Mus musculus: one gene and its partners. The protein of the gene in region 3 interacts with the protein of the main gene of each other region in a pairwise test. Links are inferred from orthologs where the notes say so. Each region holds a gene or a part of one and is shown on either strand. Other genes may lie near its edges. The genes, in order: Abi2, Zyx, Vasp and Trim9.

Region 1 (3,567 bases), on a different chromosome or scaffold from region 3:
CATAAATTTTCTACTCCATAAATTCAATACTATGAGAGATGGAATGATTTGTCAGAGGACCTCACACAGGCTTAATTACCTCTTAGCCAAAATTAAAAATTAAACAGTACGTTAACATAATATATTCATGTAGTTGATACGTCTAAATTTTCTCTTGCATTCTCCAAGGAAGGAACAAAATACTATTATTTGTAGCATTAAATGTGCAAGGGTAGCTTTTCTATAATATATGATTCAATTCTTTATTTAATTTTTGTGAATCGATTTCTCCAAAGCCCACCACAGTATTGGATTTAATAACTATGTTAAGACAGTTTGACTGCCTAATGCAAAACACCTTTCTATACACCTACTTGTGTAATTCATAGAGCAATGATGTCTCATTAAACAAAAATACTATTCTTATATACACTCCACTTGAGTCAGGCTCTCATTCTGCAGCCTAGACTGGCTTCTCTCCTTGCCTCTGCCCCATGAATGTAGCTGGTCATCCTAGAACTCATTGTATACACTAAGCTGGCCTCAAAGTCAAAGATCCACCTGCCTCTGCCTCCCAAGTGCTGGAAAGATGTGCACCAGCATTGCCCCAATTCAGTACTAGTTTTTAAAAGCAAATTACTAGGCACACAGAAAACTATTCCAATGGAGGAAGAGCAGGATGAGCTCTTTAGCTTTACATAAAAATCATGTATTGACTTTTTAAAGTAAAAATACAGTAGTATTAAAAACTTAGTATTCATCCATCCTTCTATTCATTCAACAATAGTCTAAACTACCAAATGTGTCTAGGATAAACACCTATCATGTATGGGCTAATTATGTGTAACAAAAAGGTTTTGTTTTTTATGGTGCAATATAAAAGAGATGAAAAGAAATTGATAAAGAGAAATCTAACCTGGATTCTGGTTATAAAAAGGACCTCCATTCATCTGATTCTGAAGGCTTGTTTGTGACGTTATGGAAGGAGGACGTCTATAGGGCAACGAGCCCCCTATTGTAGGTGGTGTATGGCGAGAGGCAGGCCTGTTCATGCTGTAGAACTGAACAGGATGACCTGGAAAATGAACAGAACACAAACGCATCATTAAAGGAAACTCATCTCAAATAATGAAATTTTCTAAGTATATCATTCACTTTCTAGTAAGATTATTAAAAACCACAGTATCTATCCAAATTAATGAAAGATGACAGCTGATACTGTATTAAAGCATAAAGGTAAGAAAATTAAAATATTGCATTTGGAAAACTAACATCTAAATCAAAAGCTAACATTTTGACTTTCTTTTAATTGACTATTTTTTTAAAAGCACAATTAATTAAAATGTACAGACAGAATGTGTCCCAACACCAAGTCTCCAGTATAGCTAACTATTCTCACCCCAAGGGTCACACATCAGACAGCCTACGTATCAGATACCTATCTACATTATATTTCTCTTTTTTTCTTTTCTTTTTTGGTTTTGTGAGACAAGGTTTTCTCTGAGTTATCTTCCTTTTCTGGAACTCAGTCTGTAGACCAGGCTGGCCTCAAACTCACAGAGATCCATCTGCCTCTGCCCACCCCAATCCCCAAGTGTGGGGACTAAAGGCATGCACCACCACTGCCCAGCTACATTACAACTCATAACAGTTTTAAAATTACAGTTATGAAGTAGTAATGAAGTAATTTTACGTTTGGAGTCATGACAACTTGAGGAGCTGTATTAAAGGGTCACAGCCTTAGGAAGGCTGGGAAGCGTTGCCCTAGCACACCAGTGTTAAAAGACCACAGCTGTAAACAGTTATCAGGTCATAAGGGTTCTGTTCTCATGAGTAAGTAATACCATTATCAAAAGTGGATTTTCTCCTTTTTTATTCTATGTACAAAGTCTCTCACCAGATTAAGGAACCTTGATACTAGATATTCTGCCTCCAGAACTAATATAGTCAGACTAATATAATTTATAAATAATCTAGTCTACAGTATTGTTATAGGACACAAGAGATTAATTTCCCCCTCCTGTCCAAAAAATAATTATTTAAAGCAGCCATTAAACATTGGAGACTAAACGAAGAATTAAATTCTGGGGGAAAAAAACAAAAACAAAACAAAAAAATGTTTGATACAGCCATATTCTAAAATAGGTGGTGATAACAAAAAACACTGTTTAAAAGGAAACAAAATAGTTCAACAAAACATTTGATGCTTTAACGCCAAGTCAAACCCATCTTTATACAATTCAATATACTCATCTTCTTATAGCCAGATTGTGTCATAAAATAGTTTATGAAATCTGAATCAAAAATGATCATCACCCCAGAAACCTATCCATTTATAACTCATTTCAACCTATCTTACCTCTTCAGAGTTATACACTGCTAACATCAACCGGAAACATTCTTTCCTAATCCACCCAGTTTCCATCTATAACTCAAATCCGACCTTGCCTTTACCCTCACTTGGTGCCCACTCAGTCAGGGGCCCTCTTATATCAGGAAAAGGCCACCCATGAAAGAACACCAGCAAGCAACAGGGCATGCAAGGAAGGGAATGACAGGAAGACAGGAAGAGGAGGAGAAGCTATACCATGAGGGGAAGAGGAAAAAGGGGAAATAAAAAGGAGAAAGGGCAAAAGACAACAGGGAGAAAAGCATTGCCTAAGATCTTCAAAAAAGAAAACTATGAATTTTATAAAGTTGGATCCACTCTAAATTCTCATCAATATTAAGTCTATCAAGCACAGCCAAGTACCTATTATTATGTTATCATTTAACTGCTAAAATTAACTCTTAGTTAGGGGCCATTTATTATTTCTGGGCATTTGCAAGATTTCTCTTTTTAACTAGTTGGACTAGTGTAACAGAGTTGTATATCTCAACCAAATGACTGTCCATATTTTTACTCATCCATTACAGAAAAATCTTCATAAGGATTATTATAGAAGCTATCTAAATAGAATACCATTCAAAATCCAATTAGGACAAAGACATCTTTTAAAACATGTTTTATTAGTAGCCAGGTAGTAGTGGTACACACCTTTAATCCCAATAATTGGGAGGTAGAGGCAGGTGTGTCTCTGTAAATTTGAGGCCAGGCTGATCTACAGAATAAGTTCCAGGACAGCCAGGGCTACACAGAAAAACCCTGTCTCAAAAAAAGGATACATTTACTAACCAGCATCATATTAACAGTTAAATTTATTTTCCTATCCCAGCAAAATGTATTTGAGGTTAAAATCTTTTCTAAAATGATTGATTACATTTATTTATAAGGAGGGCACATTCATACAACAGAGAGTGTGCATGTGCGTGTGCGTGTGCGTGTGTAGATTAGAGGACAACTTATACAACCCTGGCTGTCTGGCTAGGCAGCAAGCCCTTTACCTGCTAAGCCATCTCCTTAGCACTAGGTTGAAATCTTAAATAAAACATCAGTCAACTTAAATAATCTTAAAGTCCTTTGAAGTATAATTTATGAGTTTATTATAAACATAGTTTGTAATTTGCTATATAAAATATTGCATTAAAATATATTTTTCAGGGGCTGGAGAGATGGCTCAGTGGTTAAGAGCACTGACTGCTCTACAA
Region 2 (4,223 bases), on a different chromosome or scaffold from region 3:
AGAAGATCTCTTTCCCTGAACTAACAACTGGCAACAACTGTACTGTCTGTTTCTATTTTGAGCTTTTATGTGCTAGACTAAGAAGATAAGCTGACTTGCTCTTCACCATTGTTTGGGATGGGTAGCTATTTCAAAGTCAGGTGGGGAGGGGGGGAAGGCTCAAAGTTCACCCAATGTTACTAGGGTCTAAAGACTTGTGAGAAACAGGCTAGACATTCTACCCTAGACCTGTGACTTCAGAAGACTGAACCTGTTGGAGAGGTCTCTCGTGCCCACGGGCCCAGCCTCCATAGCACAGAGCAGTGCCTGGCAGTCAGCTGAGGCTGGCCCAGTAAATGTTTACTGGTGCTGACAATACTTTAATCTCTAGATGGGCCCTCAGGCGATGAAAGTGCTCAGAAAACCCAGGAGCCTAGGGATTAAGTCAAGGCCCAGGAATGGGAAAAACTAAGGTTGGGCTAGTGACCTCATTCTCCCCTTCAACACTCCAAGGCAGAGGCAGAAGGGAAAGTTGTATCCTCTTACTGCTAAGCCCTAGCTGCTCTACCGATTGACCCAGGCCCCAGGTAGCCCCAGACTTCCTCCAGAACTTTCTCTATGGCCTGCCAGATAACCCTACACTTCCCCCACCGCCACACCCACTCTGGCTCCTCCGGTTCTCTACCCCACCCTCTTGCCCTTTTACTCTGCAGTCCATTGGCCTCAGCCTGTGGCCTCCTCACCTGGTTTTGGTTTTGAGCTGGTGGAGGCTGTGGGTGCTGCTTCTCTTGAACTAGGGGCTTCTCCTTCTGCTGAGCATAGGTGAAGCTAGGGGGCTGAGGGGAGCCTGTGCTCACAGAAGAAGGAGCATCCGGAGGCACCATTTTTTGATTGGGCTGTGGCCCAGGTCCACTTGGAGCACCAGGGCTGAACTTGGAAACCACGGGAGTAAATTTAGGAGCCACTGGAGCAAACTTAGGTGCTGGAGTTGGTGCCTGAGAAAGGGGACCCCGGGGCTGTGTATTAGCAGAAGACACAGGCTGGGGTTGGACATGGGGCTTGGCCTGAGGCTGGACATGGAGCTGGACCTGAGGCTTGGCCTGCGGCTGAGGTGGTGGCTGGGAGCTAGAAGGGGTCTTCCAAGGAGGCAAGGGTGCTGTGCCCCCAGGGGCAGGTTTGGTACTAGGCTTGGGAACAAATGGAGTGGCAACTGGTGGGGGTACATATCCGGATGATACCTGCAAGGAGAAGCAGAGGGGAGAGAAATGCACTTAGACGAGGTTGTCATCTCTTCCTTGCATTCCCTCCTCTCCTTCTAGGCCCAGACTTTCCTACTGTCCTGCCCCTTACCCGGGCTTTGAAGGGATCGTTCTTGGTCATGTCGTCCAGCAGTGAGGACAGAGAGTCAATCTCCAGGTCAATACTGCACACTTTCTCCCTGGGCTGGAGGGTCAAGGGTCAGAGCACCCATCCCAGTCTTCCCTTGTCACCCCACTCCTCTCCAGCCCATGGAGGTGTCCCCCACCCCATCTCCAGCAAAGCTGCCCTTCCAAGCCCTCCCTACCTGCGGTGGGAGCTGGGTAGGGGCCTCAGGCCCTCCCTCCTCCTCCAGTGGAGGTGGAGGGGAGGGGAAGATGTCCTCCTCCAGAGGAGCAGGGGGGAATGGTTCCTCGATCATCGGGGGAGGTGGAGGTGGGAAGGCACCTCCCAGGGCACCCTCTGAGTCGTCGCCCTCCCCAATAAGGGGAGGAGGGGGCAAAGGAAAGTCTGGGTAGGAAGGAGAGAAAAGGCTATCAGTACCGACCCTCTTTCCTCCTCTCCTCAGACGACTGCTTTAACCCCTAATCCAAGAACTCTTTCCTGCATCCCAAGAGTGTGTGCAGACCATAACGAGGGGCTCAGGATGCCCTGGGCGAAGCAGGTCGAGTGAGAACGAGCCAGGTTGAAGAACCGTGCAGCTCCCGTTACACTTCAGAGAACGGATCCAGAGGGGAAGATTCCTGGCCCACATTCCCGCCTCCTACCCCCAGGCGGGAGACTTGGAACAGTCCCAAGGGTCCTGGCTCCCAGCCAGGAGCTCCAAGATGAGGTAAGAACATCTGCTCAGGACAGGGTAGCCACCCAGCGCCCAGCCCCCTCCGCAACAGCCTTTTCAGACAACCCCAAATTCCCCAAACCACCGACCCCCACCCCTGGCGCCCGAGAAAGATCAGGGCCCCCAATCCCAGCCGCATACCTTCCGGGGGTGGTGGTGGGATCTCGCCCACCCGACCCATCTGCGCTCTTTGGGCCCCGGCTGCTACAGGAGGCTCGCTGTCCCCAGGCCGGAAAGGATTCACTTTGGGCTTTGGGGCCACAACCGGGGCGAACTTCTTCTGCGGGGCGTAAAACGCGGGGGCCGAGACGGAGACGGAGATCGCGGGAGGCGGGCGGGGGGCCGCCATGGCCAGGCCGGGCTGCAGGGGGTGGGGTCGTCAGGTTACGCAGAGCGGTGTCGGACTGACACTCCTCGGTCTAAGCGCCCCTCGGTGACCCCACCCGCGCCTCCCCGCGTCCCCTTCCCGGGGCGGCGGAGCTTCTCCCCGCTCCTCACCGCGCGCAGGAGCGTGAGAGGCGCGTCTCGGATGACCGCCTCGGCGCCGAGTCCGCGGACTCTGCGTCCCGGTCCGGAGCCGCTTCTAGCCAAGCGGGGAGGGACGTCGTGCACGGGAAGGGAGGGAGGGGGCGGGGAGAGAGCGGCGCCCAGACCATACAAGGAGCGGCCCGGAGAGGGGGCGGGGAGAGACCGGGGAGGGAGGACCCGACAGGAAACTCCCCCAGGAAGGGGCCCAGGTCCTGCCCCGGGCTCCAGGCTCTGCAAAGGTCCGCCTGCGGCCTCCCTACTCACCACCGCCCCCGCCGGGCACAGACCACCCTTCCCCAGCACAGGCCTCTGATGTCATTTCCTGACCTGCCACCTACCCCACCTCCCTCCTCCCGACCCGCGAGTGCTGGAGAACTGACTCACTGTCCGCACTCCAGGCTGAGCAGGCTGGCTAGTAATCCCAGCGGTCCTGAAGCAGCTCAGTCGCGCACCCCGGGCCTGCCTGCCATTGACCGACCCCGCCCCTCCCTGCAGCTTCAGCTCCGCGTCCCACGTGTCCTGTGGTCAGTCCCGGAACGCAGGACTGGGATGGAACTGTACTCCTGGGTGGGCGGGGGATGGTGAAGGGACGTTGGCCCTGCGGGCACTTGGCTCCCAGGCCGGCCTTCTGTAACCCACTAGTGTGTGAGCAGGAGCCTAAGCTGGGGGAATGCTAACTTCCTGAGCTAGGCAGCCTCTTAAGGCTTCTAGGAATTCGCTTTGCCCTAGACCCGCCTGCAATAGTATTGCCCCGGGGACAAGAGTCCAGTGCTTTGAGTCCAGGAATGGAGGTACAAGGGCGAAGTCAGGGCGAGTGGTCAGACAACCTAGGAAGACCCAAATAGCCCCCGGGGACTAGTCCTTGAGGATCCCTTCAGCAAGCCTTTCCCAGTCCCTCAAGAGTCTTTGGGTTGTCAGCGCGCCCCGGGACAAAGCTCGGTGGAGCCCCCCACTGGTCCTACCAGATTCCTCAGCCTGAGACTGCCCCAGGCTACATGAAAGAGATATGACTAAGCTGGTGTCTGCTTTTCTTACTTTCTTAATCTTGCATCTTTCCCTTCCGATCTTCTTCTTCTTCTTCTTTTTTTTTTTTTAAACAACACACGGAAACTTCGTCCAAATTATAGAGTTACGAGCTAGAGCCTCTAGTCCAATATCCAACCCTCGGTGCTTCCTTTGGTTTCGCCCTGTCATCCCTGGCTGAGGCTCCAAACCTTGGCGCTCCCCATCTGCTGCACCCTACTGTCCAGTATGGTTGGTCAGTATATGTCCTTGAGCTATGCTTTAGGGGCATGCAAACTAACCCCATGAACCTAGGATAAGAAACTGGGGGATGTTACCTGAAAAGACGGCCCCAAGGGTTGCACTCAGGTCAGAGTTAATTAACCCTGTTGGCAAAGATGGAGAAACTCCGTGAGGTCAGGGAGCCTGGTTTCCAACTCAGTGGACAAGATTTTTCATTCATTCGGTTTCATTGCCTCCATTGTAAAAGGGATGGCATTTAGTTCGTTTGCCTGCTGCTTTATGTGAAGAGATAAATAACATGCCATGCCTGAAAATTCTATATAGTTCTCAGTATTACTTCCAAGTTCCAGCCTGGAAAACAACGGAAATTTCCAGC
Region 3 (2,780 bases):
TTTTAGAAAACTACAATCCCCAGTACTGTTTTCACAGATTTTCCCCTGTAGTGCTTTTAAAACAAGAACAATGTGTCCTTGGATTTATAGTTTCTATGGATAGAACAGGGCTATCACTCACCACTCTGGGCAGGGAGTCGGGCCTCTGACTCCTCCTGTTGGCGGTAAATACAAGTATCATAAACTACCCTTTCTATGCCAATATTCAGGTCCAAAGCCAGCTCAGCCCTGTAACACCTCCTCCCTGCCCTAGGGTACTAGTGTACACCATAAGGAATATAGGGCAGGAAAAGCCCCCTACTTACACTGGCTGACTCGTCTTTGGGGGGCTTCTCCCCAACCTGTGTGGCTTTTCTTCTGCAGAGGGGCAAGCAAGGACAAGCTACAGTTCACACTCTGCCACTCAACAGGACCCCTTCCCACTGCTAAATTCCAGGAGAGGTTGGAAAGTTAAAGAAGGGGCCTGCAAGATAGCTCAGCAGAGAGAGATGCTTGTACCAGCAGAACCACCTGATTTAATCCCAAAGACCTCTGTGAAGGCTGATGGAGAGAACTGAGTCCTGCAGCTTATCCTCTAACCCCCACATAAACAGACATACACAGTGAATAAATAAATGTAGCAAGACTTTTAAAAAGAGAGGCAGGCAGATCTCTGTGAGTTCAAAGCCGCCCTAGTCTACACAGCGAGTGACTGTCTCAAAAAAAAAAAAAAAAACAACATGGGACAGAATGTATTACATGGCACAAGGCTGTAATCCCAGTATGTGAGAGGCAGAGGCGGAAGAGTCATCATTCTAAGTTCCAGCCTAGCCAGGGCTGAGAACAGCAACAGCAACAATCCAGTTCAGGGCTGCTGAGATGGTTCAGTAAGGAAGGGTGCTGGCTGTTAACCCTGACAACTTGACTCCTAGTCACAGAACCCACGTGGTGGAAGGAGAGACCTCTCTTCCGGGGAGTCATGGGCACACTCATATATACGATAAATAAAAAGAAATAGCTTGAAAATTTAAGGAAAAATCCAGTCCAGAGATTGTTCCTCTAGAATCTGGAGGGGTCCCCCATAATTTCCACATCTGGAAATCTTAAGCATTCTAAGGGCGACGAGGAGTTAGTTCCTAGGTCAGCAAGCTGGGTGTCTAAGAATCTAAGCTTTCAGAGTGTAAGAATCTCTCATGGCTCAAGCACTTTACAGTCTGTGAGCCACCTCAGGGGCTGAGTCTCCAGCATCGTGTCCTGGACATGGCTGTCATCAGGCAGCACCGCCACTCATAGACACAAAGAAGCTGAGTGCAGGTGTGTCATTCCAGCGCCCAGGAGGCCGAGGCAGGTGCATCGGGAGTTCAGCCTGGGCTAGACATGAGCGGCGGGGAAAGGAAGAGAGAGGACAGGAAGGGGAGGGGCCCAGTCAGCACTACAACAGCCTAACCCTGAAAATGCAGCATATAGCTGAATTCTGGGACTCAGGCTCACCTCCGGGCCAGCATGGCGTTCATCTCTTCCATAAGCCCCCCACCAGTGCTTCGACTGTTCTCAGCTTTGGGGGCCAGGGGCCCCCCAGAGGCCTCCTCCTGCTGAAAGAATGAAAAGGGGGAGAAGGCTTCACAGGTAGGCCAGGTGACCTCCCAGCCCTCTTGTGACACCTTTGGGGGACTCTGACCACCTCCCATTGTCCCCTCAGGGCTTCATCCCAGCCACTCCCTGGTACTTCCTTACCTTGCTCACTTTCCTGAGTTTGGCTCCAGCAATGGCAGCAGCCAGGCCTGGGGCCCCGGAACCCCCACTATTGGGGCCCTGTGCTGTAGGGAGTGGGGGTGCAGGGGGTGGGGCTGCCCCTGCTCCATGACCTGCCCCAGATACCCCTGAGGAGGGCAGACCTGGGGGTGGGGGGGGACCTGGAGGAGGGGGAGGTCCTGGAGGTGGAGGAGGGCCCCCAGCTGGGGGAGCAGGTGGGCCTCCTGCAATAAACACAGAGAATGGTCCTACTGAGAGAGAAGCCTGGCTTTGTGTCCTCCCTGCCCAACCAGCTCCTCCAGGGAGGTCCCCGTGACCCAGTCACGGCCATCACCTGCATTGGAGACCCGGCGCTCCATATGCTCCGGCTGCCTGTACGGGGGAGGGGGGAGAAAGGAGGCTGCTTCAGTCCCCAAACCAAGCTAACTGGTTCATCTCTCAGGTCACCAAGGAGGCTGGTGCCTCCCCTCCATCCAAGTCTGCCTTCCGAGGGCCCAGGGAAAGAAGGATGAGAACAAGGGGCAGGAGGCATGGATGGAGCCTGGGTACGTTCTTTACAACTATGCAAGCAGATGATTCCAAAGTGGCCATGGGCTCAGAAAGGTGGAGTCCTGGTGTGGAGTAGGGGCACGGGGGGGGGGGGGGGGGGGAAGAGGGGGTGGTACCAGCATGGTTCATTCCCTCATCAGATTCTTTTTGGGGAGGGGTTAGATTTTCTTTCTCTTTTTAGACAAGGTCTCACTGTGTAGCATAGGTTAGCCTAGAACTTTGTAGACCAGATGAAGTTCTAACTTGCAGATCCACCTGCCTCTGCTTTCTGAATGCTTGGAAAGGTGCGCACCACCGTGCTGATTTGTACAACAGCACCCCTGACTAATTTCTAAGGCCAGCCTGGAATTCACTACATAGGCTGGCCTCAAACTCTTGGCAACCCTCCTGCCTCAGGCTGAGATGACAGGTTGTATGCCACTACACCCATTTTTGCAGTTTCTTGTCTCTGGGGGCTTGGTAAACAGTGTCTGAGTGCCATCTACTTCTAGACTCTTGGC
Region 4 (3,567 bases), on a different chromosome or scaffold from region 3:
CCCCCCCAGGAAACATTCTCTTTGGTGGCTCTGGGGGTGGGGTGGGGGGGATCCAGTTATGTTCAGTGAGATCAAAGGAAAAGCAGGCCCAACAGGGGCAGAATAATGACCTCACTCTCTCAGCTTCTCCTGTCAGTCACCACTGATGCTTTGCTAGTCAGTAGATTCTTAGAGCTTCCCAGCCCTCGGACATCCTCTGTCCTGCTCCATTCATGTCTGTTTTATTGGCTATCCCTTGAAGTAAGCACACAAAGCATTTTATATTGATATCAAATCCAAGTGGCTACAGATAGCAGGTCTCTTCAGCAGTTCACACTGGGGGTACTCTGTGACTAGCTACCTGATAGCATCACCCGTGCACTTGTGATCAGCCTCTTGATTCTGGAGCGCAGGGGTAAATAGGATCACCCCCATCGCGGCGATGCAGAGACGCACATTTCAGAAGCCGAACACATCTTGCATGCTAACTGAATGTCGCTTGTGCTGTCGCTGACAGGCTTGTAAATAGCAAGATTGCCTGTGGTGGTGTCCAGTCTGTCTTCTGCATGCAGAAGAAAGGAGTGATGTTTATAAATGTCTGTGCTCTGCTGAGATAGGATTCAGTTTTGCTAGCTTTCACACTGATGAGAGAAGACAGATCTGGCTATCTGTCCCTGATGGTGCTCTGCAGTCAACAGCTGCATCAAAAGACATAGTTCTTTGTAAGGTGGTGTTTATACTCGGATCTCTGGAAACCACTGAACTCCCTATAGTATAATTATGTCTCAGGAAGGTATCCCCTTCAATGCTGTCATTTTACAGAGAGAATCTAATGTCTTCATTCAAAGTCATTGTGCTGAAAGATTAGCATCTTTCCAGAGTGAGTTCCACTACTCCATGGAAAGCAGAAGGCTCTGAGTCCAGTACCTATCATATGTCCTGGGTTCGACCTAAGTACTTCTTTATTGTGACTTTCTGATTAAGTCATTTTGTAATAAATGCTGTTAGAGTCACACTGTACATGCTAAGTGCAGAGCAGAGCTGATGCCCTGTGGTAGCCAAAAGGCTGTTTGGGCTCAGTCTTGGTATTGTCTTCTGCTGTAGCTCAGTAGCAGAAAGTCCATTTATAACAATTCTCTCTCAGCAAGGCACAGTAAACAAGAGACTGTCATGAGAGGTGGCCGTCTCTGCAGGGGGTGGGAATTTGGGGGAGCAAAAAAAAATCTAAATCATATTTTATTATGTAAAGCACAGATACACAAAATATAAGTAGTATATAGTGTATCTAAGGCTTTAAGTTTTTATGTGAAAAGTGTTGCTTAGGGCAAAAAAAATGTGTTTTTTTAAAAAAAGCTAACCAACGGAGGGATGTAAAGAATCAAAATTCTGGTTTGACTGGGCCTGGTGGGACAGGCCTATAGTACCATCTTCTTGGGGGGTTGAAGCAGGAAGACTACAAGTTTAAGGTTTGCCTGAGTTATCATGGAGTTCAAGGCCAGCCTGGACAATTTGGTAAGATGCTGTCTCAAAATAAAAAGTAAAAAAGAGGGCTGGGGTAAAAGCCAGCGGCAAACTCACCTACTATACATGGGGCCAAGTTCAACCCTCAGAACCAAAGAAAAGCAAAGGAAGAATGCAGACTGGTCCAGCAAGCCACAAGGGAGAGATGTAAGATGAAAGCAAGCCGACGACATTCCACTTTTTCCCTTTTCCCACAGAACTGAAGGAGGGATCACAAAAGGGGCCACCATCGGGGTCCTCCTCGACTTAAACAGAAAGACATTAACGTTTTTCGTCAACAATGAACAGCAAGGCCCCATAGCGTTTGAGAACGTGGAGGGCCTGTTCTTCCCTGCTGTCAGCCTGAACAGGAATGTGCAGGTAAGCTTGTGGGCCCCAGGACTAAGGGCTTGCTCAGGTTGCTACTTCAAAGTCTGCCCAGGGGCAGTAAAATCCCCCCAAGCCCCAGCTCCGTGAGGGAAGCTGGTATAAGACCCAGAGTGAGACACACCAAAGACACCTTCCCATGTGCCTGCCACAGCCCAGTCAGCCACCCACGGGAGACAGACGCCTTCTCTACCCTGTCTATTTATCCTTTGCTCTAGTTTCTTCTTTAAGTAGACCTGAATGACTTCAACAGACTGGCTGCTGAGATGGCTCCTACCAGGCCCCAGGAATGCCCAGGAAAAGCAAATCTTAGGCACTTATCAGAAGTGTGAGCTGCTTTTTGTCCTTCACTCTTCATTGTGCAACAGGGCTGGGAAGCAGTAGCCCCGCCTGCGAGTTAGATACTTGCAGTTTCCCATAGAGACAGAACAAGGGGTCCTTCTCGCCCCTTTATTCAACAGCCATCTGCAGGGCTCTTTGAGCATGCCAGGCTCTACTGTAAATATTTGCTATCCATCAGCGGGAGAAAAAAAAAAAAAAACAGATACAAACCTTACCTTCCTGAAACTTATATTCTGGTTACAGATCATAACCATGTGATTTCTAAGGTACGTTAGAGGGTCAGAGTATGGCAAAGGGATCAGCAATACTGGGAACATGCTAAATAAACAGCCACAGGCTTAAGCGGGGTGGTCAATCAGCTGGTCTTATTATAGTTGCTGCTTATCTGAGTCCTGAAGGAGGGAAGGTAGCAAGCTGTGTAGAGATTTCAAAACAGAAGGCATAGCATGAGGAGCTTTGGGTGGGCAGAGAATGGTAAAGAGGGGATTCATAGCATGCAAGGAATGTGGGTGATGCCCTGCCAACCACTGTTAGAATTCAGGGCTTCACTGCCATCCTGATTTGGGCTTCTCATTGCCCGATATAAACCTCACTAACCTTAAAATAGGACCTGAGAGTCAAACGCTGTAGGGTTCATGCCCTAGCTACAGCCACAGTCTTAAAAGCTCTTTTAAGTTGTTTCCTGTTTATGAGTAGGGGTAGTGAAACTGCTTACAGCCCAGCGGGACCTGATTTCCAGCTTCCTGCAAGGAGATGGGATTATCTGAGGAGCTGGAATCTAATTCTTCAGAGGTCAGCCTGTACACCAGGAGATAGAAAACCTTAAATTTTTATAGGAGTCAATCTAAGAAAAACCTCGTTCAAAGTTTTTCACCTTTTCAGCCATTTCCCTTCCAAAGACTATCATGCTGGCCATGCTTCGGGATTTTCAAGGGTGTTCTAGTGCCTTTAGACAAAGACTCTTGATGGGGGTGATACAGATAAGAAGGTAGAAATGGCCATATTTATGATATGCTTCTAGTGTTTCCCATAACTCTCCACATAGTTTGAGGTAGAGTAGAAATTGTTGAAATAGCCTAAGTGCCTATATTCCTTCCCACTATAAAGCCTTTCCCGAAATCACAGATAGATAGGTTGGAACTCACAGACAAGCTAATCTGATCTCTGTCCACGGACTTGACCGTGACCTGCAGATGAGCACCTTGACCTCAGCCATAAGAAACGTACCCTCCCCCCAACCTTTTTTTAAAAGTGGGTATTGTGTATCCTGGGTTTGGAAGGCCACTATGATGGCCAGGCTTTTAGCACAGCTAGTATCCTGCTAGAAGACCCTTCAATGTCTTCTAGGATAGATGTTCA

Evidence for each region.
Region 1: the proteins of Vasp (region 3) and Abi2 interact in binary tests that used the Homo sapiens proteins (3 or more experiments, as listed by UniProt). The link is inferred for Mus musculus from reciprocal best matches to the Homo sapiens genes VASP and ABI2.
Region 2: the proteins of Vasp (region 3) and Zyx interact in binary tests that used the Homo sapiens proteins (3 or more experiments, as listed by UniProt). The link is inferred for Mus musculus from reciprocal best matches to the Homo sapiens genes VASP and ZYX.
Region 4: the proteins of Vasp (region 3) and Trim9 interact in binary tests that used the Homo sapiens proteins (3 or more experiments, as listed by UniProt). The two-hybrid records come from large-scale screens. The link is inferred for Mus musculus from reciprocal best matches to the Homo sapiens genes VASP and TRIM9.

Annotation. Positions count from the first base shown.
Region 1 is NC_000067.6:60,451,091-60,454,657, reverse strand, and holds part of Abi2 (abl interactor 2), read right to left. Parts: intron 1,055-3,567; coding exon 896-1,054; intron 1-895. UniProt on the Homo sapiens protein: Regulator of actin cytoskeleton dynamics underlying cell motility and adhesion. Functions as a component of the WAVE complex, which activates actin nucleating machinery Arp2/3 to drive lamellipodia formation.
Region 2 is NC_000072.6:42,348,469-42,352,691, reverse strand, and holds the start of Zyx (zyxin), read right to left. Parts: upstream 2,865-4,223; 5' UTR 2,573-2,864; exon of another isoform or gene 2,436-2,572; 5' UTR 2,424-2,435; coding exon 2,216-2,423; intron 1,747-2,215; coding exon 1,544-1,746; intron 1,423-1,543; coding exon 1,330-1,422; intron 1,218-1,329; coding exon 723-1,217; intron 1-722. UniProt on the Homo sapiens protein: Adhesion plaque protein. Binds alpha-actinin and the CRP protein. Important for targeting TES and ENA/VASP family members to focal adhesions and for the formation of actin-rich structures.
Region 3 is NC_000073.6:19,259,111-19,261,890, forward strand, and holds part of Vasp (vasodilator-stimulated phosphoprotein), read right to left. Parts: intron 2,104-2,780; coding exon 2,066-2,103; intron 1,956-2,065; coding exon 1,714-1,955; intron 1,572-1,713; coding exon 1,471-1,571; intron 358-1,470; coding exon 306-357; intron 156-305; coding exon 122-155; intron 1-121. UniProt on the Homo sapiens protein: Ena/VASP proteins are actin-associated proteins involved in a range of processes dependent on cytoskeleton remodeling and cell polarity such as axon guidance, lamellipodial and filopodial dynamics, platelet activation and cell migration.
Region 4 is NC_000078.6:70,246,558-70,250,124, reverse strand, and holds part of Trim9 (E3 ubiquitin-protein ligase TRIM9), read left to right. Parts: intron 1-1,697; coding exon 1,698-1,860; intron 1,861-3,567. UniProt on the Homo sapiens protein: E3 ubiquitin-protein ligase which ubiquitinates itself in cooperation with an E2 enzyme UBE2D2/UBC4 and serves as a targeting signal for proteasomal degradation.